3 linked regions of the Sus scrofa genome follow. The protein of the gene in region 1 interacts with the protein of each later gene in a pairwise test. Links are inferred from orthologs where the notes say so. Each region holds a gene or a part of one and is shown in the gene's direction. Other genes may lie near its edges. The genes, in order: ADAMTSL4, AMMECR1 and LONRF1.

What was found.
Region 2: the proteins of ADAMTSL4 (region 1) and AMMECR1 interact in binary tests that used the Homo sapiens proteins (3 or more experiments, as listed by UniProt). The two-hybrid records come from large-scale screens. The link is inferred for Sus scrofa from reciprocal best matches to the Homo sapiens genes ADAMTSL4 and AMMECR1.
Region 3: the proteins of ADAMTSL4 (region 1) and LONRF1 interact in binary tests that used the Homo sapiens proteins (3 or more experiments, as listed by UniProt). The two-hybrid records come from large-scale screens. The link is inferred for Sus scrofa from reciprocal best matches to the Homo sapiens genes ADAMTSL4 and LONRF1.

Annotation. Positions count from the first base shown.
Region 1 is NC_010446.5:98,585,294-98,592,172, reverse strand, and holds the start of ADAMTSL4 (ADAMTS-like protein 4), read left to right. Parts: upstream 1-2,917; 5' UTR 2,918-3,083; intron 3,084-3,594; 5' UTR 3,595-3,668; intron 3,669-4,828; exon of another isoform or gene 4,829-4,905; intron 4,906-5,565; 5' UTR 5,566-5,761; coding exon 5,762-5,781; intron 5,782-5,979; coding exon 5,980-6,037; intron 6,038-6,351; coding exon 6,352-6,692; intron 6,693-6,876; coding exon 6,877-6,879. UniProt on the Homo sapiens protein: Positive regulation of apoptosis. May facilitate FBN1 microfibril biogenesis.
Region 2 is NC_010461.5:90,311,014-90,317,792, reverse strand, and holds part of AMMECR1 (AMME syndrome candidate gene 1 protein), read left to right. Parts: intron 1-3,728; coding exon 3,729-3,819; intron 3,820-5,248; coding exon 5,249-5,345; intron 5,346-6,779.
Region 3 is NC_010459.5:913,160-920,038, reverse strand, and holds the start of LONRF1 (LON peptidase N-terminal domain and RING finger protein 1), read left to right. Parts: upstream 1-2,817; 5' UTR 2,818-2,916; coding exon 2,917-3,628; intron 3,629-6,879.

The DNA of each region.
Region 1 (6,879 bases):
AGAAAAAAAAAATAGATGACACAAAGTAGCCTAAATTGGTCCTGTCTCAAAAGAACTTAGGGATTTATTGAAAAAATAAAATACAGATATTAAACTTCATATAAGGATATAATGCTTCTATTGTAAAAGTATTTTATATTTTCACTTCCCTCATCTTTTAGAGATGAGATTTTTTTTTTCCCCCTTTGGCTCTGATCAACACTTGTGGAAGTTCTGGGGGCCAGGGATTGAATCCAAGACACAGTAGCAACTGAGCCACAGCATAGAAAATGCTGGAACTCTGAGCCACCGAGGAATTCCTAGATAACATTTGCTTCTGTTGAGTCCCGTTACCTCCCCAGGGCTCTTTCTCCAACTAGACCCAACTCTTTGGCGGCCAGAGACTATTCTAACTATGCCTTCAGCACCAAGTGCCACAAGTGCTCAAGAAATGATAGGTGGGCACATCTGAGACCCAGTTATTTTGTGGGGATGCAGGAATGTTGCTAGAGCTTCTATTTTGGGAGAAGGGGCTGCACCTGCTGCATGTGGAAGTTCCTGGGCCAGGAATGGAACCCAAGCCACAGCAGCGAACCAAGCTGCTGCAGTGACAATGCCCCTGAACCTTAACCCGCTATGCCACAAGTGAACACTTAGAGCTTCTTCTTCTTGTGCTTTTTTTTTTTTTTTTTTTTTCCTGTCTTTTTTAGGGTCGCACCCACAGCATATGGAAGTTCCCAGGCTAGGGGTGAAAATCGGAGCTACAGCTGCCAGCCTATGCCACAGCCACAGCAACCCCAGATCCGAGCCACATCTGCCACCTGTACCACAGCTCACAGCAATGCCGGATCCCCCACCCACTGAGTGAGGCCAGGGATTGAAGCCGCATCCTTACAGATACTAGTCAGATTCATTTCTGCTGTGTCACAACAGGACTCCCAAAAATATCCTGGTTTTAAAATATTGACAAGTCACTGAAAAAAAACCAAGAGCTTAAAAATACTGAAATAAATAAATGAATACTAATAAATAAATAAATAAATAAATAAATAATAAATACTGAATAGGAGCCCTACGTTGCTGTGGCTGTGGTGTAGGCTGGCGGCTGCAGCTCCGATTTGACCCCAGCCTGGGAACTTCCATATGCTTCAGGTGCAGCCTTAAAAAGCAAACAGGAGTTCCCGTCGTGGCACAGTGGTTAACGAATCCGACTAGGAACCATGCTCAGTGGGTTAACGATCCAGCGTTGCCGTGAGCTGTGGTGTAGGTCGCAGACGCAGCTCGGATCCTGCGTTGCTGTGGCTCTGGCATAGGCAGGCAGCTACAGCTCCGATTCGACCCCTAGGCCTGGGAACCTCCATATGCCGTGGGAGCGGCCCAAGAAATGGCAAAAAGACAAAAAGAAACAAACAAACAAACAAAAACAAACAAACAGGAGTTCCAGTGGTGGCACAGTGGTTAACAAATGCAACTAGGAACCATGAGGTTTCGGGTTTGATTCTTGGCCTTGCTCGGTGCCATGAGCTGTGGTGTAGGCCTGCGGTTACAGCTCTGATTAGACCCCTAGCCTGGGAACCTCCATATGCCGAGGGAGTGGCCCTAGAAAAAGCAAAAAAATACAGCAAACAAACAAACTGAATAGACTCAATAATACACGACTGCGGTTGATGAATAAATGGCAAATAAAAATTTAAATCGTAGTGTCCATTTGTTATCTACTGTCAGCCATTTTGTATATATTATTTTTCTTTGTTTTTAACTAATGACATAGATAATGCTCATGGTTAAAAATTCAAAAACATATAAGCATAGAGTGACAGCCTCCTAACCCCACAACCCCTCCCCAGGTATTGTCTCCAATTTTGAGTCTGGGATGTATTCTTCCATAAATAGACAGACGTATCTCCAAGCCTGTCATATGAATCAGATAAGCCCATTTTACAGATGAGGAAACTGCAGCACAGAAAGTTTGAAGTACTCATCCAAGACCACAGAGCTGACAAGTCCTGGAGCAGAGATTCAAATCTAAATCGTCTGACTCCTAAGTCAGCGCATTCCTCCCGCTATGCCCTGTGTGTCAAATTTTATGGATGAAGAAACCTAGGCTTGGAGTTCCCCTCCTGGCTCAGCGGTAATCAATCCAACAAGTATCCATGAGGATGTGGGTTCGATCCCTGGCGTCGCTCAGCGGGCTAAGGATCTGGTCTTGCCATGAGCCGTGGCATAGGTTCAGAAGCTTCTCGGATCCCTGCGTTGCTGTGGTGTTGGCCGGGACTGCAGCTCTGGTTATACCCATAGCCTGGGAACTTCCCTATGCCCCTGGTGTGGCCCTAAAAAGACCAAAAAAGAAAAGAAGAAAAAAAAAAAAAAAAAAAAAGAAGAAGAAGAAGAAAAAGAAGAAACCGAGGCTCATAGAGGTCCCCTGAGCAGCCAGAACCACATGGTTCACAGCCAAACGTGGGAGAGGCAGGGATGAGAGTGTGCTTGCACCAGAGGCTGCGTGGAGGAGAGGGCCTCCGCCGATGGGGCATCTGGGATCGTGCGGGTCTATCTCGGCCCAGCAGTGCCCAGATCTGGGCCCAGAGGCTCGTCCACGCCGCTGGTGTACAGGAACCACCCAGCCCCTTGGCGCCCCTCGCGGCCGCCCCGCCAGGGCAGGCGCAGCACTCGCACCGCCCACTCGGAGCCGGCTGGGAGGCCCGGGTCCCGGAGTCCCGAGCCGCAGCCAGGCCGGGAGACAGTGCCCGGGGGCGATGGCTGTCTTCGAACAGGGCTGGGACCCCTTCGGCTTCGCCCCCTCGAGCCGTCGGCGGGCGCCGGGCGGGAGTAGCTAGTCCCGCTACTCTGGGTGGGTGGCCTTAGCGAGCCGGGGGCTCGGGGTGGGCCGCCCAGACCCGGGGGCCGGCGAGGGGCGCGGGCCGGGCGCGTGGCGGGAGGGCGGAGTGGGGGCGGAGAGGGGGCGTGGCGGGGGCGGAGCCGCGGCCGGAGGCGGCAGAGTCCGGAGCCCGGCTCAAGGGCCGCCGTGGCCGCCGCGGAGCAAAGCTGTCTCGAGAGAGCGCCCGGGCGCAGAGGGGTTAACGGGCCGCCGGGGCCTCGAAGAGCAGGTACAGACCTTCCCTGGGACCCCTGGCCCCGGCTGCCCTCTCTCCCAGGTCCCGTTAGACCACCGGCCCTGCGCGCCCGCGCCACCCGAGTTCCCTGCTCCCCAGGGTCGCGCCCCAGCCACGACCCCGGCCCCAGCTCTTAGAGCCTCGGAAGATCTTCCAGTCCCTGGGGCCGGATTCCTGGGGAGGGGGTCTGATCCCTTGGAACGCTGGCCCCGTCACCCGGCCAAAATTCCTACTAAGTCATAAAGTCGGAAAACATACGCAGGACCTCGCGGCATGCGCCGGGCGCCACCTGCCCTCATCTGAAAGGGTGCTCCTGGAGGATGTGTATCCCACCCTCCACCCCCGTCCTTTGGCCCTGGAGTTGGGGGATAGGGACGATGGGAGGGGTGCTGGTGGGTGCCCGTGATCAAACTCAGCCTGATTGGAAAGGAAGGACACCTGTCGGGTTGGGCCTCCCTCACTCAGGAGTGGAAGGTGCAAGGAGAACCAAAGTGTTTTCTCTCAGCATAGGGACTCTCCAGCCAGCCCTGGAACCTGCTGTCCAGCCTCCTGCCCCTCCGTGGCACCCATTTCCCAGAGGTGGGTCCCCTGGGGGTGAAGGGGTTAGTCTCTCCTTAATCTTCACTGGCCAGTGTGGAGGTGTGGCCGGGAGGAGCCCAGGTTCGTCTAGACCAATGTTAGCCTGGCCCAAGGGTGACCACTTCTGACCTCTCCTTTCCTCACCCTGGGCGGTGAGACACACCAGATGAGGAACATGAAAAGGGTGAAAAACACAAATGTGTGTCTGTTTCCGCAGTGGAGGGGGTGTCGGCCCCCTGCCCAGCTATGCAGGAGGTGGGGTAGGACTTTTCCAGAGAGGGAGCCAGGCCTGGCCATGGCCCCAGGAGCTCACGTCACCCCACCCCCCACCCCTCACTTCTCCAGGGAACTGCCAAAGCCAAACTCAGCTCAGGACAGGATTATGTGTACTGGGTAGACCCATGGAGAGAGAAAGCAAGATACAGACCTGGGGTAGCTGCGAGCAGAAGCAGAGAGGGATTGGAGAGGGGCCTGGCAGCAAGAAGGGGTAGACAGTGACCATCACCCCATCTCTCCTTCCCTTCAACCTCCCTCCAGTGAGAGGCAGGCAGAGAGCTGAAGGCTTGGGTGGAACGTTGGCCCTTCTCTGGAGCCCCTACCCGATCCCCCATCAGGGTGGAGTTGCTGACCTCAGTGGCCAGCCCAGCCAAGGGAAGGAGCAGACATCAGCAACCCCTTCCCAACCCCAAGGAGCTGAAGAGACCCTGCAGCTCGGGCTCAACCACTGCGACCCCTCCCTCAACTTCCCAAGTCCTGGGGTCTCAGGGAGGGGAGTGCGGGCTGGGAGTTGCTACCCCCAAGCACATTCCTGCCCTTCCCGCTGTCATTTTCCTGCCCCTGAGCTGGCCCACCTCGGCATTAGCTCCTTGGATTCCTCTCCCGGGTGCCTTTCAGATCCAACAGAAACATTTTTTTTTTTTTCCTGGAAAGCAGAGCTCCAAGCAGCCTGAGGAGTGGGGGTGGAAAGGCCTCACTGTGAGCAGGAAGGGGTTGGGGGGCAAGGGGGAGCGGTGGAAGAGTCAGGCTTAGACCAGGGGACTAAGTTCTGCTTCCCAGATGATCAAGGCTAGACTTCAGGATGGACTTCCCAGCTCTTCAGAAGATAGACCAATGCGGGACTGGGGAGCAACGACATCTCTAGCTGCATCTCCCCTTCCCAGGTTCTCCAAGCCCATCAGAATCTCGCCTGAAGTAAGCCCTCACTGATCCAGGGCTGGACGCCAGCCCCCAGAGGGAGGTGAAGTCTCAGTGGGAAAAATCACTTGCTTCTCTAGAGATTAAACCATCAGCCCATTTAGTTTATCCCTTGGCTGAAAAGCATTTGAGGCAGGCAGAGATGTGCTTGAGGGTTCCAGAAGGAGCTTAGCTAAGAAGGGAAGAGATGGAGTTCCTGTCGTGGCTCAGCGGTTAACAACCCCAACTAGGATCCATGAGGATGCGGGTTTGATCCCTGGCCTTGCTCAATGGGTTAAGGATCCGGCATCCCTTGAGCTGTGGTGTAGGTCATAGACACGGCTCTGATCTGGTGTTGCCACAGCTGTAGCTCCGATGAGACTCCTAGCCTGGGAACCTCCATAAAAGAAAGGAAGAGAAAGCTGGGAGACAGGCAGGGGAAACCCAGGGGCTTCCAGTCAGCAGCTCAGAGGGGGTGCCTGGCAAGTGCTTGCTGAGCCTCTTTTCTCAGCTTTCCAGGAGGAGCCAGGTGGAAAGCAACTTGAGAAGGATGCATGTGCCTGGGCTGGCTTTGAGACTGTCCCTAGTCAGGACTGGAAGGAGCTGAGACCTTCCTACAGTTGAGGGAGGGGATTTAGCCTGAGTCTGGAGGCTGAGGGCAGACCCTCACCCTCTAGCCTGGGCAGACGGACAAAGAAGTGTTCCTTCTTCTTCCCACCCTTAGGATCTTAAAGAGCTGGGCCAGTCTTCTCCACGCCTCCCTCCTCACTCTGACATGTCTTGCTGAGGGGTCATCCCTCCCAGTCCCCAGCCTTCCCGAGACTGGGTCCGTCTTCAGTCCTCTGAAGCCTAGATGCCCAAGTAGAGTGTTTCCTTTGGGTCCCCTCCTCCCTTGCCCTGGGGCCACCAAGGGAGGAGTGATGGAGAAGCAGGCGATCAGGTAAGAGGTTGGGGCTGCTCTAATGGAGGGATGGCTCTGTCCCCCTGTCTCTGGAAGTAAGAGGAAGGAGATCTCAGGGTGGAGCCGTGGGAGGTGGTAACTTCTGCTTTCTGAGAAGTTGGCATCAGGATGTGGGGAGCCCACTAGGGGTGAGGGGTGGTGTCAGACAGCACCTTCACTCCTGCCTTTGGTTTGCAGGCCCGGGTTGTGTCTGATGCTGCTTCTGTCCCTCCCTCAGCTCTGCCTGGATCAGGAGGTGAGCAGGGGACTAGAGGCTGTGAACCTTCCTCTCCCTGTCCCCCCCCAGCCCTGCAGTCTCCAGACAGACCACGTCTCCATTTTCCAAAGCCTCTGGCAAGCCATGGCCCCTTTCTCTCACGCTTGGCCCTCCCAGCATCCCCAACACCCTAACTCCTTGCCAAATAACCTCAAGTCCTACCTCTGCCACTGAATGTGACCTTGGGCCAGTAACAACTGCCCCAACCTCCAGCTTTGGACTGGATATTCTGTACAGATATTCTGTACCCTCGAAAATCATTCTAATTTCGTTTAAATTTTTGGTCTACACAGGTGTTGTCTGGACACTCACTTCAGACACCCCCTGAGGAGAGCCAGGGCCCCGAGGGTGTCTGGGGTCCTTGGGACCAGTGGGCCTCTTGCTCCCAGCCCTGCGGGGTGGGGGTGCAGCGCAGGAGCCGGAAGTGTCAGCTCCCTGCAGCTCACCTCCACCAGGGCCGGCCCCCAAGACATCCAGAAGGCCTGCTCCCCCGGGGTCAAGGCCCTAGACCTCAGACTTCCCGAGAAACCCTTCCCCTGTACAGGCCACCGCCTCGGGGAAGAGGTGGCCCCTTTCGAGGTCCTGCTTCTCAACTAGGGAGAGAGGAGGCCCGGGAGACTCAAGGAGCCAGGAGGTGAGGGGTGGCGCTTTGAGGGGAGAGGCGGGGCCTTGGGCAAGGGGCGGGGCCTGGGATGAAGGCTAGTGGAGCAAAAGATCCAGGCTGAGAAAGGCTTATCTTTGGTGCTAGGAAGTAGACTGGGGAGGCAGCGTCGGAGATGACCAGCTCTGTGACCCCGTGTCTGCAAACACCTTCTCAGGTC
Region 2 (6,779 bases), on another chromosome or scaffold:
ATAAAAATCACTTGCTGTGGAGAGGTTCGGAATAAATATGGCTTTCTTTGTAGCATGAGAGAGGAATCTGTTGCACCGCTCTTAACGTTCGCTCAGCACACACAGATACAGCTCTGTTTAATTCCATATCCTCTTATCTATAAGTCCTACATTTAATTTACTACCATTTGAGTTGCTTTATAGCTTTGCTTAGCAAAAGTACAGTCTTGATTAAAAGGATATTATCACAGCTCATGAACCTTGAAAGCATTTTTTTTCCCCCCTCAGACCTTCTAAGAATTTTGAAAATGACCCAAAGACTCCGATAAGGCTGGATGCACACGTCTCCAGTTCTGGCCCACCTGGCTGTACTTTGGGCAATGGTAGTTAGCAGGGTCTGGTGATGTCGTTTTTCCCATGTGCCAACCCCTTATCCATCCCCCCAAGGAATGGCCCGTTATTGCGATGCAGTCGATGCAGTCGTAGGGCAAGTTTGCTGCAAGGAATCCCAGACCCCTGGTGAGCGGATCTCTTATCTAGCTGCTACGGCAACTGTGGCCTTTGTCTCTTGAGATGCTGCTGGCCCAAAGGATTCTCCAGTCTGTCAGAGGGGGGTTCGGTTATTATACATGAGGATTACATTTGGGAGTCGCAGCTGTGACAGATGCCTGCCTCCAACAACACAGAATTCGTTTTGGTGCTCATTTCAGTGGCGATGACTTAATTTGCAAAGCCAGTGATTTCCACAGGTCGGCCAGATTCGGTCATTCTCCACAGCAGGCTATTTCCCACTCTCCTCTTTTAATTGAGCAGTATGACTGTTTCCTTCTGGGAGCAAGGAAAATGCTGTCGCTCAACAGGTGACAAAAGGCATAATAATACTTTGATTCTGCTCAGAACATTATTACCATTCTCCCGATGCCACTAGTGGGAAAAAAAAAAATGAAGTCACTCTGGCTTCGGCTTTCTATCTTTGCGGAGGGTGTTTTTGACCTATGAGATAACTTACTTCTCACAAAGGGAACACTTGAAAATCACGATACTTGCAGTTCAATATACGGGGGCTTTCAATCGTTCAGAATCATAGGAGCACAGAAAAGAATTTTAAACGTTGTAAGTGGGGTCCTAATTCCAAATGGGAGAATTTTGATAATTTTCCTATCAAATTTGATAGTTGGGCCTTCTTAAAATACAAATGTAAATCAGTTGTACTCATGAATAATTTTGATTTTGGTCAGCGTGTCCTTCTAGCTTGGTCTTAACCTCTTCACATAGCTGTATCTTTATTAAGATATTACCCACGTACCATACAGTTGGTCTTACCTCTTTTCATTATTAAATTACTAGGCTTTAAAATCTCTGTAATTTTTGTTGAAGAACACAGAATGTACTCCTGTGAAGAAAGGATTTATGTCTAAATCACCTCCAATTTGCCTAAATCGCTTTTTTTTCCCCCAATAAATAGCCACAGTTTGTCGGAGCTAGACTGATTATTAGAGGTTATCTAGTTAACCCAGAAAAAAAAATCACCTGGGGCGTTATTATTTTTCCAAACCACACTTGGTGAAGTACAAAACCTCCTGCCATTCTGATAAGCTGCGGCCCCCATCCTCACCCCGTGCCAATTAAATAGCACTGATTTAGTCCAGCATCCTCATCTCACAGACAGGGAAACAGTCTTTCACTCACAATTTTGATTAGACACCTTAATAAACACCAAAATTCTTTTCAATTTTAACATGACAGAGTTTTGATAAATGGAGTCGAAGATGCAGAATTTACCTCAGTGAATGATGGGAGCATAAATTATATGTGCCGTTATGTTTTTAAAAACAAATGATGAAGGATCTGATATGTTGAAGGAAAAAAATTTCAAAGTCACTCATCAGAAAGGCAGTATACAGAAACGGTTGCAAATTTGTCATTGTCTCAGTACCATGTCGGGCACTGGGGAGATTAGTAGATGTCCTTTATCCTGGAAAGGCCTGATAGCTAAGCACTCATATTTCTTCTCAGCTGTCCAGAGCCATTTCCCACAGGGTATGGGAGGCCTTATTGTGTTAGTTTTTAAACAGCTGCCCTGATTGCATTTTCAGCAGAAGGAGATTCATACGAATACTGATCTTAGATAGAAGAAAAGAGCCACAGAGATAGGCTTTCATAAAAAACATAAACTGATCAGAAGATCGGACAGACGCTAATGGATGGATGTGCAGAAGACCTGGGAGGAAAAATGAAAAGGATTTCCCAGAGGAGGTTTTGTTGTTGTTGTTTTGCCTTTTGCCTTTTGAGGGCCGCACCCGCGGCATATGGACATTCCCAGGCTAGGGGTCGAATCGGAGCTGGAGCTGCCGGCCTACACCACAGCTACGCGGGATCCGAGCCGTGTCTGCAACCTACACCACAGCTCAGGGCAACGCCAGAATCCTTAACCCACTGAGCGAGGCCAGGGATCGAACCCGCAGCCTCATGGTTCCTAGTCGGATTCCTTTCCACTGCGCCACGACGGGAACTCCAGAGGAGTTTTTATTCTCTGAAAAAGGCCAGTAAGCACAGAAGAAGCAAAAGAAGTTTTCGGGGACCCCCTCTGCCTCTTCTAGACCTTGACAATCCATACAGATGTATGGGTGTAACCGCCTGCTCTGCAAAGAAGCCTCTTTCTCAGGTAAAAATGTTTACCTGGTCTTAACATCTTCCCTCCAGGACCTTGGACGATCTTAACCTCCACGTGGGAACCACTGATCTAAACAACCACAGATTGGGGAGAAGAGAATGGAGAGGTTATACTTTTGAAATGCCATTTTTATTATCAGTGTATCTAAGGACGTCAAGAACTTTTTAATGATCTTTCCTCTCTGCACTATTATTCTCTGTGAGACGTGAGGGGAGAGGACAGCTTTCTTCTGGTTGAATGTTACCTCAAAGAAACAATATGTAACTTTTCTTAAACCATTGGCAAGAAATTGCACACACTTACTTACTTAGACTCTTTTTTAGGGCGCCACCAAAAGTTTGTCTGTTTCACGTGATAAAGTTATAGTGGTCTCTGGGTTGGTATATGAGAAGCTGTGCAGAAACGCCCTGCCCTGAAGCAATTCACAATCTTTATTGCTTTTAGATTTGGTAGCAGCTTTGTAGATAGACGGTGAGGGTTTGCCACTGGCCATAATACATTTTTTTAGAAATACAATCTGTAATGGGTAAGCTCATAGGATCTGGTTGGATTTTTTTTGGGGGGGGGGTCTTCTCTGTTTGTTTATGTACATACAAGTCAAGGTTTACTAGACAGTTTGGGATGGGAATCAGCAGCCCCAGAAATGTGGGGACTTCATCTGAAACGGTGATCATCCCTGAAAGCAGGAGGGTTGTTTGCTCTCTCCCTGAAGTCACTTCCCTGGATCTTGCCCCTTATTGTCATGAGCCACAAATTGGGGCAGGGGCGGGGGAGGGCAGGACTCTTGGCGTTGATGGTCTTATTCTGCACCCAGGCGCAGCATGGTGGTTCTGGTTCTAAACAGAATGGCGTGGCCCAGCGCATGTTGGTCACATGCACATCGATGTTTTGAGCCTCCATGGCTGTCATCACGACCTTCAGTCCCAAAGTCAGTGTCTCGGAAAGAGAAAACAGACATGCCCTTCCAAAAACAAGGGGAAAGGAAGAACTGCATTCTCTTGAAAGTTAAATTATAACTTTTTCTTTCTGTTTCTATGAAGAAGACTGTACTAATAAAACTGCCAATTTCTTTCAGGTGGGTGTACATGGCATTAGAATAGAATTCATCAATGAAAAAGGATCAAAACGCACCGCCACCTACCTACCGGAGGTTGCAAAGGAGCAAGGTCATTGTTGTACTTTATTTCATATGATCTGGTGAAGAATTGAAACAAATACACAAATTGAAATGCGCTATCTGACCTTGCAGTTTTATCTGATAATTGATCACTGTCAAATTAATGATAAGAAATGACTCTTCCCTCACTGCCACTGCAATGTCTGAATGAAATCGGTGACTTCACACAAAAGTTGCACCTCTGCACTAAAGTTTGACGGCAAAAACATACAAAAGTGTACTTTCAAAAAAAAAAGCAAAGATTTGTAAAAATTGAGTGTTGTTTTAGGCAGTGGTTTGCTATGAATTTGAGGTGCCATCTTCCCATATTCCACTGTACTCTAGCCTCGTGGCATAAATCAGCCTTTCGCTTGGCGGCCAGCCACGCAGTTCATTGTCAGTATCAAATGTTTCCTTCTTAGCTGGTTCCCATTACTTCCTGTGCTGCCGTTACGATCGTAGGTTTCCCATGAAGATTAGGAGCATTGAGAAAATATGAACCATTTTTAGTGTTTTACATGTTCCTAATCAAACTTTTTTTCCGTTTTACCGCCGTAGCACACACCTTTATGAGTTACCACTGCCACACAAAATAACATTTCACTCTGCACTGTCCTCTCCTTTCCACCCACTGCTAAATTCTGGTGTCAGGTTAGCTCAAAGCAATGTCTCTTCTTTATCTCATGGAGCGTTTCCTCTCATCAGAAAGCATTTGTACTTCGTTTTCCCATATCTGTTTCATGTAAATGTGAGATGTATAACTGCCAAATTTAATATCATTAAATCCCCCCCACACCCCCAAACGAGAGAGTCAGTCTTTCAAGCAGCTATCTGAAGATCTGGGTTGCTTTAGAAAATGTCTTAATTCTGTAGTTGCATTCCGTGACTCTGTAAAGCAGACCTGAGAGGTAGAGGGCCTCGGGTATGAGTATCCATCCTGTGTCAGAAACAATAAAAACGCCTTTGAATACTGCACACAGATGCCCTTGATCGACTACAGAAGATGCTGCTAAACATGGCAATGACCATGAGTTAGTGTGGGAGTCCTAACTACTACTGCGTTGGCTCAGTGAGGCTTTTCCCTCCCTTTTAAAGCTGTCCCTGGTGGAGGAGGGCACAGCGTTTGTGGTTTGTTATGTGAGACACGACAGAGCCGTTACTGCCAGCCTCTTGGGTTCCTTGCCTCCGAATGCGGTTGAGATAAAGAGGCCAAGGTTGCTAGCCATCGGGGGTATAGCTAGGATATAAGGCGTACTGGGCGGTACCTGCTTCTGTACCCGATGCAGCCTTAGCTCTTCTGTGTGACTGTTTTTAGGACCAAAGGGGTTGATGGCATTTGGTGACAGTGATCGCTGACCTCTACAAAGTCATTTTGTATTTGACCACAGGTGCTCGTTACATGTGCTTGACTGGTATTTTATCTGGTCTACTCTCCACAGGATGGGACCATATTCAGACCATAGACTCCTTACTGAGGAAAGGAGGATACAAAGCTCCGATTACTAATGAATTCAGGAAAACCATAAAACTGACCAGGTACAGAAGCATTTCCTAGTGCAAGGCTGCCTAGTACATTTTGATGTGTATACCTGTAACCTTTTGATTTCTTTGGTCTCTCTAACTGTGCTTGCTTCTCTTTTCTGAAACAGAGTGGAAATGAATGGCTGGGCCATACTGAGGGGCGGATAACAGTGGAACCTCTGCTTGGCAGCAAAGCCTGTATGATGTATGGGCCCACCCAGCCCATCTTCACTCTGTGTGATTCCTCTGGCTTTGCAGAAGCCAGCCCTCTGAGCCTTTAGACTGCATTATTGAAGAAAGTGGCCTGAATTAGCTACCGGTTAGCTTTTGCCATTGCTTAGCAGAACCCCAGGATTCTGATAAGCAGTCCTCAAATTTGAATTTCACCTTAGAACTTTGGCAGTGATAGAGAGCTTGCTGGAAAACACAATTGAGCTAGACTCGCACATGCTAAATGAATTTCTGCACGGGCCAATAGGGGGACTTATTTTAAAAGGAAAAGATCGAACATTTTCGGAAAATGGGTTGCTGTTTCCATTTCTTTTCATTCCACGGAACCACATGGAATGCCTGTAGTTTAAAAACGGACTCTTCTCAGCTCTGAGGAGTCACAGATTTGAAAATGCCTCCATCTCGGCTTTCTCTGAGTTCACTTTCTAGGAGAACAGAAGGGCATGTACAAAAATAATTGTTAATATAAGACAGAATGTGATGGATGATGTGAGCTCATGGAGTAGGGAAAGAGGAATTCCAGGAGGGGTTGGGGATAACAGAAAATTCCAAAGAGGAGATAGATTTGAGGCTGGGCTTGAAGAATGAGTAGACTCTTTTGACAGGTGGAGAGTGGGGAGGAAAGGGATGCACTTAAACGGAACTTTGTGAGTCAAGGTATGTAGGTGGCGAGGTACAGAGCAAATTCGTTCAATAGTCTGATCGGGTTGGTCTTTCAGTGTACATAGGGAAGGCGGTCACTGGGCCAGATGTGGTCCAGAAGGTAGGTCAGGCCAGTTCATGGAGAATATGAAGGTTAAACGTGATTCCATAGGCACTTGGTAGCCATCGAAGGGTTTGAACAGATGGATTTGGGGACATGTAAGATTGAAATTGGAAATAGGAAAATTCATTGGGAGACATCCACACTAGGTGAAACGGGAGCCTCAACATGAGCTGTGGCAGTGTGCTGGGAAGAAAGGAGGGAAAGGAAAATATTGGGGAGGGGGAGGAAGACTTAGTCATCACTCAGAAGGAGGGAAGGAGTTCCCTTGTGGCTCAGTGGGTTAAGGATCCAGTGTTGTCACTGCAGTGGCTCAGGTCACTGCTGTGGTGCAGGTTTGATCCCTGGCCCAGGAACTTCTGCATGCCACAGGCGCAGCCACACACACACACACACACACACACGCAAATGCACAAAATCTAAAAGAGAAGTAGGGGAGTTCCCGTCATGGCTCA
Region 3 (6,879 bases), on another chromosome or scaffold:
CTCTCTCTCTCTCTTTTTTTTTTTTTTTTTTAAATGGTAAGAATGTGAAGAAACAAGTGGTAAATTCACCCACAGCAAAAAAAAAAAAAAAAAAAAAAGTTCAAATACACATCTTTAGCTGCCTCATGCACAGGAAAAGCACTATGTTACACAATTCTTAAATAGTTTACCTAACTATATCAGGAAAAGTCTCCTTCTGGTGCAGTGGGGCGGGGGAGGGCAGGGATACGCAGGGAAAGATGGTGATAAGCATTTTCCAAATTAGGAAACAGATATGCTTCTTACTCTCTTACATAACTGATCTATTTTAGAAGACAACATGAAAAAACTGAAATGAAATACAAATCTCATGATTTTACTACTTTCTTAGCAAAGACACAAGCACGTAATGCTGGAAGGGAAAGAGAGGAGAGTTTCACCCCATCCTGCTTCTCCCTGCCCATTCCCCTCCCCCCCCCCGCCAGGATTCCCTCTCCTCCATGGCAGCCTGCTGGGTGAGTCAGAGCCCAAAGTCCAAATTTTAGAAAATGAATGAAGAACGATACCAATTCCTTTCTCTTCTGAATTTAAAAAGCAGTCGCATCAAAGTGCTTATCCTCTTTTGGTGGCACAGAATGACAGACAAGTGTCCTATCCTAAAACCAGTGATCATTTTGCTCCAGACTTCCTGATTCAGAGGGAAATTGGGCAGCATGCGAAGGCCACAGAGGCAGTACAACCTCTTACATAAATAAGTTACATAAATGAGAACCAGTTATGTAAATGTATAAACCAGCAAACATGAATTATAACCATTCACAAATGCCAAGGAGAACACGGCAAGATGCCTCCTACGGTCTCATTTTTTCTCTCATTATCATAATTGTACTATTTTATTTCACACCAGAATCAAATGTGGCTATTTGTCATATTTATTGGGGAAAGAAATTGCAAAGGACAAATGATGCTTCATATTATTTTCTGAATCATATATTTAACTTGGGGGGTGGAATTTCATAATAATCCTGATTTGAACTATATTTGATAAGAAATATAAGCATGTTTATCAACTTACACTTTTTGTGTAATCATGAATACATGTATTAAATATTTACTGTTGCATATTTTGCAAGTGGTTCTTAAGGACAGGAATACTTCAAAAAGTAAATGTCCACAGGCATATGGATATCTGTTTTACTACAAACAGTTTCAAGTTTCAGATGAGTATGTGGGCCTCTGACTAATGTCATTCTTTTATTAAGGGAAGGCAGTAATTCAAGGGGGCTATGACTAGATTCAAGGTTATGCTCTGAATTAATCCCATTATTTGTCACCTCAAATGATTAGGAGTTACTCCTTGGCTCTCAGCTGCAGTTTGCTTCAGGTTCAATGTGGATGATGAATGAACTGGTTTATCTCTGCACCCTGTTGGAACAGGAGCCTGAGCTTTTCCTCAGCTTCTTCCTTGTTCCCTTGGTCACCATGTATATACATTTCCTCTGAAGTTGCAAGATGTACTTACTGTGTAGTTAAAAACTCATGTAAATCAAAGCAGTTTTCAGCCTAGCTGCCTGTTCTGTATAAAGAGGGATGTTAAATATCAGCTATTTTCAGACATAGCATCAGATTAAAATTCCGCATTTGAAATTTTTTTTACCTAAGATCTAATAATAGTGGAATGAGAGTAAAGTGATCTTAAAACCTGTATTATTAGCTGTGGGATTTTGGGCAAGTAACTTTCCCTCTCTGGGCTATTGCTTCTAAACATTTGAAAAAGGACAGCATTAATAATCCAGTACCCAATGGTCAATTCTATAAACATTTTCAACAAAGAGCTTTAATCTCGCTGCCACCAAGTTTAAAGGAAATATAATCTGTTAAACAAAAATTGTATCATTTTCTTTTTCTTCTATGGGCAAAACTGCAGACCCTGCTTGGGTTACAGTGATATGGTTACTGCTGTTCGAAAAACGTTTATCCTGGTATTTTCTCTTTAAAAATGCCAAACATAGGCCTTAGCCAGCTGTGTGGTAGTATATGAGATGTGCAGAGGAAACTTTGGTCTCCTCTGAGATGGGAGGAAAGCTTTAAACAGCGGGGCGCGCGCGGAGCGGGGGCGCTGGGCTTTAAACCAAAAAGGCAGCCTTAACTTGGCACCACCAGGGAAAAATGTTTTACCCTCTGGAGTGAGTAACATCAGATAGGTGAGTGGGATTATTTTGGTCTTAAAATTGACCTACTCCAGCCTTGGAGTCATTAGACTGATTTTGCGCATTCCTAAACCCTTTGTCTTTACGTGTCCATCTGTAATTTGGGCATAAACTAGTGAAAATGCAGAGGAGCACCTGACCACTGGGACACTACACCAGGAGGCTCCCAGGGGCCACAAAGAGGGGGCGGGTTCCCACTCAGGTGGAAGTTAAAGTCAAGAGAGTGTTGGCAGTTTGGGACTTAGTCCCACAAGGTGGGCTGCCGGGCAGAACACCACCCACGAAACTGGGATTAGGGTAGAGGCCACGCCAGGTGGGGGATGTCCGGCGGAGGGGCAGGGGGTAGGGGAAGGAAGTCTGGGTTCCTTCGGGCTTTGTTCAGTTATAAGCCAGGCCCTCCTTTCCAGAGAGTCCAATTAGATCCCCGCTGAGGGATCATCTGACCCCGCGTCTCCCGCCAGGAGGGGCTTCAGGAGAGGCGGGGCCGGCGGTCTGCTCCGCAGGGACCCGGCAGCGGGCGGTGCGGGGGAGTCCCGGGCGCCGCTGCTCCGCCCGGCCCCGCCCCGCGCCCTCCAGGCCCCGCCCCCGGGGCTTCCCGGGCGCGCGCCGCCCCGCCGTGTCCGCGCGCCACGCCCCCCTGCTCGCGGGCAGCGTGCGGAGCCGCGCGCCCCGGAGGCTCCGGGACCGTGGCGGCGGGCGGCGGCGGCGGCGCAGCCCTCCGCGGGCCATGTCTTCTCCCGCCGTGGCGAGGAGCTCCCCCGGAGGGAGCCAAGAGGTGGCCCCTCGGCCGCCGAGCCGGGGCCGGTTCTGGGAAGTGGGCGGCGACGGGGACCGACTGGAGCGCGCGGCCGCGGAGTCGGAGCGCTGGGAGCTCCTGCTCCGCCGCGGCGAGCTGCTGGCGCTGGGCGGCCACCTGAAGGGAGCGCTGGAGGCGTACGCGGCGGCGCTGCGCCGTGGGGCCCCGGTCAGGGCCGAGTGCCTCGGAACGCTGGTGGACTGCCTGGTGTTCAACTACAGGCTCCGCCACGGGCTGCGCTGGAGTGCGACCCCGGCAGCGGGCGCCCCCGCTGGCGCCGGGGGGCTGCTCAGCTGCCTCGGCTGCGGGGGCTTCCTGAGCGAGCCGGTGACTGTGCCCTGCGGCCACAGCTACTGCCGCCGCTGCCTGCGGAGGGAGCTCCGCGCCCGCTGCCGCCTCTGCCGGGACCGGCTGCCGCCCGCAGCGGCCGCGGATGCTGAGGGGACTTCCCCGCGGCCGCCGACTCTGGCCGCCGCCATCGCCGCCTCGGGTTTCAGGACCAGCGTCGTCCTCAACCACCTGGCCGAGAAGTGGTTCCCAGGCCAGCGGGCGCGAGCCCGGGCGGCCGGCCGGCTCGGGGAGCTGCTGCACCAGGGCCGCTACCGGGAGGCCCTGGCCGCTGCCTGCGAGGCTCTGCGAGCAGGTGACCGCGCGGGCCCGGCGACCCCACCCTCCTTTCCCCGACGGGCGGGCGGCCCCGAGCTCCTCGGCGACCCCGAGCGGCTTCCCCGAGGCCGTCCGCCGGCCGAGGCCGCGTCTCAGGGTCCGGGAGGGTGTGGGAGGGGGCGGCGCCCCAGGGTGCTTCGGTCACAATGGGGATCGCCCTCCAGCCGACTGTGACGCGGCCGGGTTTCCCTCCGCCGCGGCCTGGCGCTGTGGCGGGCGCGCCCGGGTGACCGAGCGAGCGGGTGGCCGGGCGAGGCCGCCGGAGCGCGGGATGGGGTGGGAGTGGGGCGAGCCCAAGTGGCCGCCAGCTTCCTGCCGCGCTCTTTCCGGTAATTGGCCTCCGCGGCCGGGGCCGGGGCCGCCACGGGGCGACGCTGGCCGGGGAGGGGAGAGGATCCCCAGCAGAGGCTGGGCGTGCAACGTCTACCTCGGTCTCCCGCAAAAGTCACCAGGGCAATTGGGAGCCGCGGGAGGCAGAATTGCATAAGCAGGAGCGGGGGGAGGGCGTTGTGTAACGGGTGACGTCCAGTGGGCGTGGCGGGAGTCTGGCGCCCGCACCCCGCACCCCGAGGCTCTGTAGGCAATCGGGCTTTGGAGTTGTAGGCAGTTTTAGATGAAAACCCCTGCAGACTTGGTTGCTCTTGTTGGTTTCAACCTATTTCAAATCATGCTTATTTCAGAAACACACGTGTACTTACTTTTGAATACACCTGGTTAAAGATAAAGAGGCAGCCTGATGAGTTCGTTGCCACGCTTCTCTTTGCCTTTCCACTCTTTATTCAGCTGCGGGGAAAGGCCTTGGGGAGCTTTTGTCTCTATTTCTTCGCTCCAAGAAAGTTTCGGCCTCCTAACCTAGGCTAGCACTTGAGGTGGTTTTAGGCTGTGGAAAGAGGCATTGCCAGAGTTAGCTCTGTAAAATGAAAAGTTATTTAAATGGGTAGTTTACTACCAGGTGGATTTGACCCAGGGAACATTGTCTGAGGCCATATCTTAGAGACATTTTTTGGTTGCCACCCCTTGTGGGAGTGGTGCTGGTACATCTAATGGGTAGAAGCCAGGGTTTCTGCTCAACAACTGATGATGCACTGGGACAACCTCCCGCACAATAGTCAGGCCCCAAATATCAGATTTGTCACTGCTGAGCCTTGTGTTGAGTAAGCATATTTCAAAATTAAGGTATATATAGGCATGAAATCATACTTGGGGAAATAATCCCCAAGAAAATAGATGTGGAATATAAAGTGGTATTAGGTGCATTTATAAACTATGTAAAGTTATTTGTTGTAGGTCTTTTACCTTAAGTCCTTAGTCATTTTGAACTAATACCTACTTTGAATTTTTGACTACCTTTAAAGTTTAAAGCACAAACTTGGCATATTTTTATATTCTTTCAGTGTCTTTATGAGAAGTTGCAGTTGTAAAATAGGTTGATAGAGGCAGAACCAAAGAAAACTATTTGGAATATAAAATGCTGGTACAACTCAGCCTCTCCAGGTGACTAGAGTATGAAGGGGGAAGTACACACCATCTAAGACATGGTCTTCATTTTAAAAATGAAGCAGCAGAAGCTGGGACAGTGAAATGACTTGTCCACAGTCACAAGCCTGCTGGTTGTAGAGGAAACACTATGTCCTCCAGTTCTCCTAAATGTTGGACCATGGTTTGTCCTACCTTTATAGCTCATACAACGAAAATGTTTAACATAAATTTCTGAGAAAGTATTTTGTCACCAATAAAGGATGAAACTTATTGACCGCGCTATTCAGTATTAACTCCTACTGATTTAGTGGTTTGATCTCTTAAATAAGGCATTTCATAAGAATTCAGAGCCTAATCTCTGGAAGAACAGGGAGTACATTTACTAATTAAGATGTAGCTTGGTGTTCTATGACCAATAATCTTTTAATTAAAGAAGATTTGAGGCCTGGGGTTGAGGATGTTATTTTTAACAGAAAAAGAATGAAAGATCTACTTTTTCTCCTTTTTTCTTTTTGCATAGACTGCATGTGGAATCTTGTCCATTCAGCTGGTTAATTCTGCTTTTGCAGAACTTGAACTCAAGTCTTCTGCTTTCACCTCATTAGTCTGTTTTCCCCTCATTTTTAGGTCTTTCAAAAATTCCTGTCAAAAACGTGTCTGAATGGTACTAATGAAGATAGCTTTTTTCATCCTTTGAATTTTCATTACAGACTAGAGGGAAAAAACCTTAGAACCAACACATTGTAACTGGTGAAGTACAGATATTAAGTGTTTAACAGTTTATGAGTATAAATAAAAAGATATGGTAGACTTAGAAATCTACTTGTGGAGTTAAACTTTTTGAGAGCTAGTTAGCTAGATCGGCATTTAAAATGTGTTTATAATTGTATTCAGTTGTAGTTACTCTGATATCTTCATTATTGTTGACAGTGGAAAAAGACCTTCACTATAATTTTTTCATATGATTCTTACAATGAAACAAGTAAATACTATTAACTAGGAAAAAAATCTAGTCTACATACAGTTAGCCCACACACATCCAAATTTAATCCTTGTCAACAAGAAAGGAAAGCTAGAAAACCTTTGCCAAAATCAGAACGTTCCCATTGAGATTACATAAGTTTCTGTTGAATCGAAATATATTTAGATAACATTTAATCCATTGATCTTTTGGTATTAACTCTCAGATGTTTCATAACTTTCTGTCTTTTTTAGTTTTCAAGGACATTATGTAAAAGTCTTTTCTGTATTGAATTTTTATACTCAGGAGTCTATTGAAATGATCCCACTTTGTTATGCTCTCTTATTTTCAATGAATTTTTGCACTGACTTGCCACTCTCCCCCCAAAGAAGACAATAGAAGAGTATAATTTACAGTTTGAACTGGTTTAAAAAGAAATAAGAGTTATGAGGGGGAGAACATTTCATTTAAAATACTTAGAGAAGGAAATTTTTATCTTGAATATCAATTATGTAGTCCTTTACTATTACCTAGTAGTTTTAAATTCTTAATATCATTTGATCTTCACAAGGAATCCTGTGGAGTAGTGTTATCCTCAGAGGGAAAGTGAGGCACCTAGGATTAGAGATGCAGAGCTGCCTAGTGGTCAGAGCTGTGCATGCTGCTGTCTGACCACCTGGGTTTGAATCCCAGCTTAGCTTTCACCTGCTCTCTGGCCTTGGGCCTGTGTCTAGCCTCCCTGTTTTGCTTTCCTTATCTGAAAAGTGAGAATTGGATCTGCCAGTAGA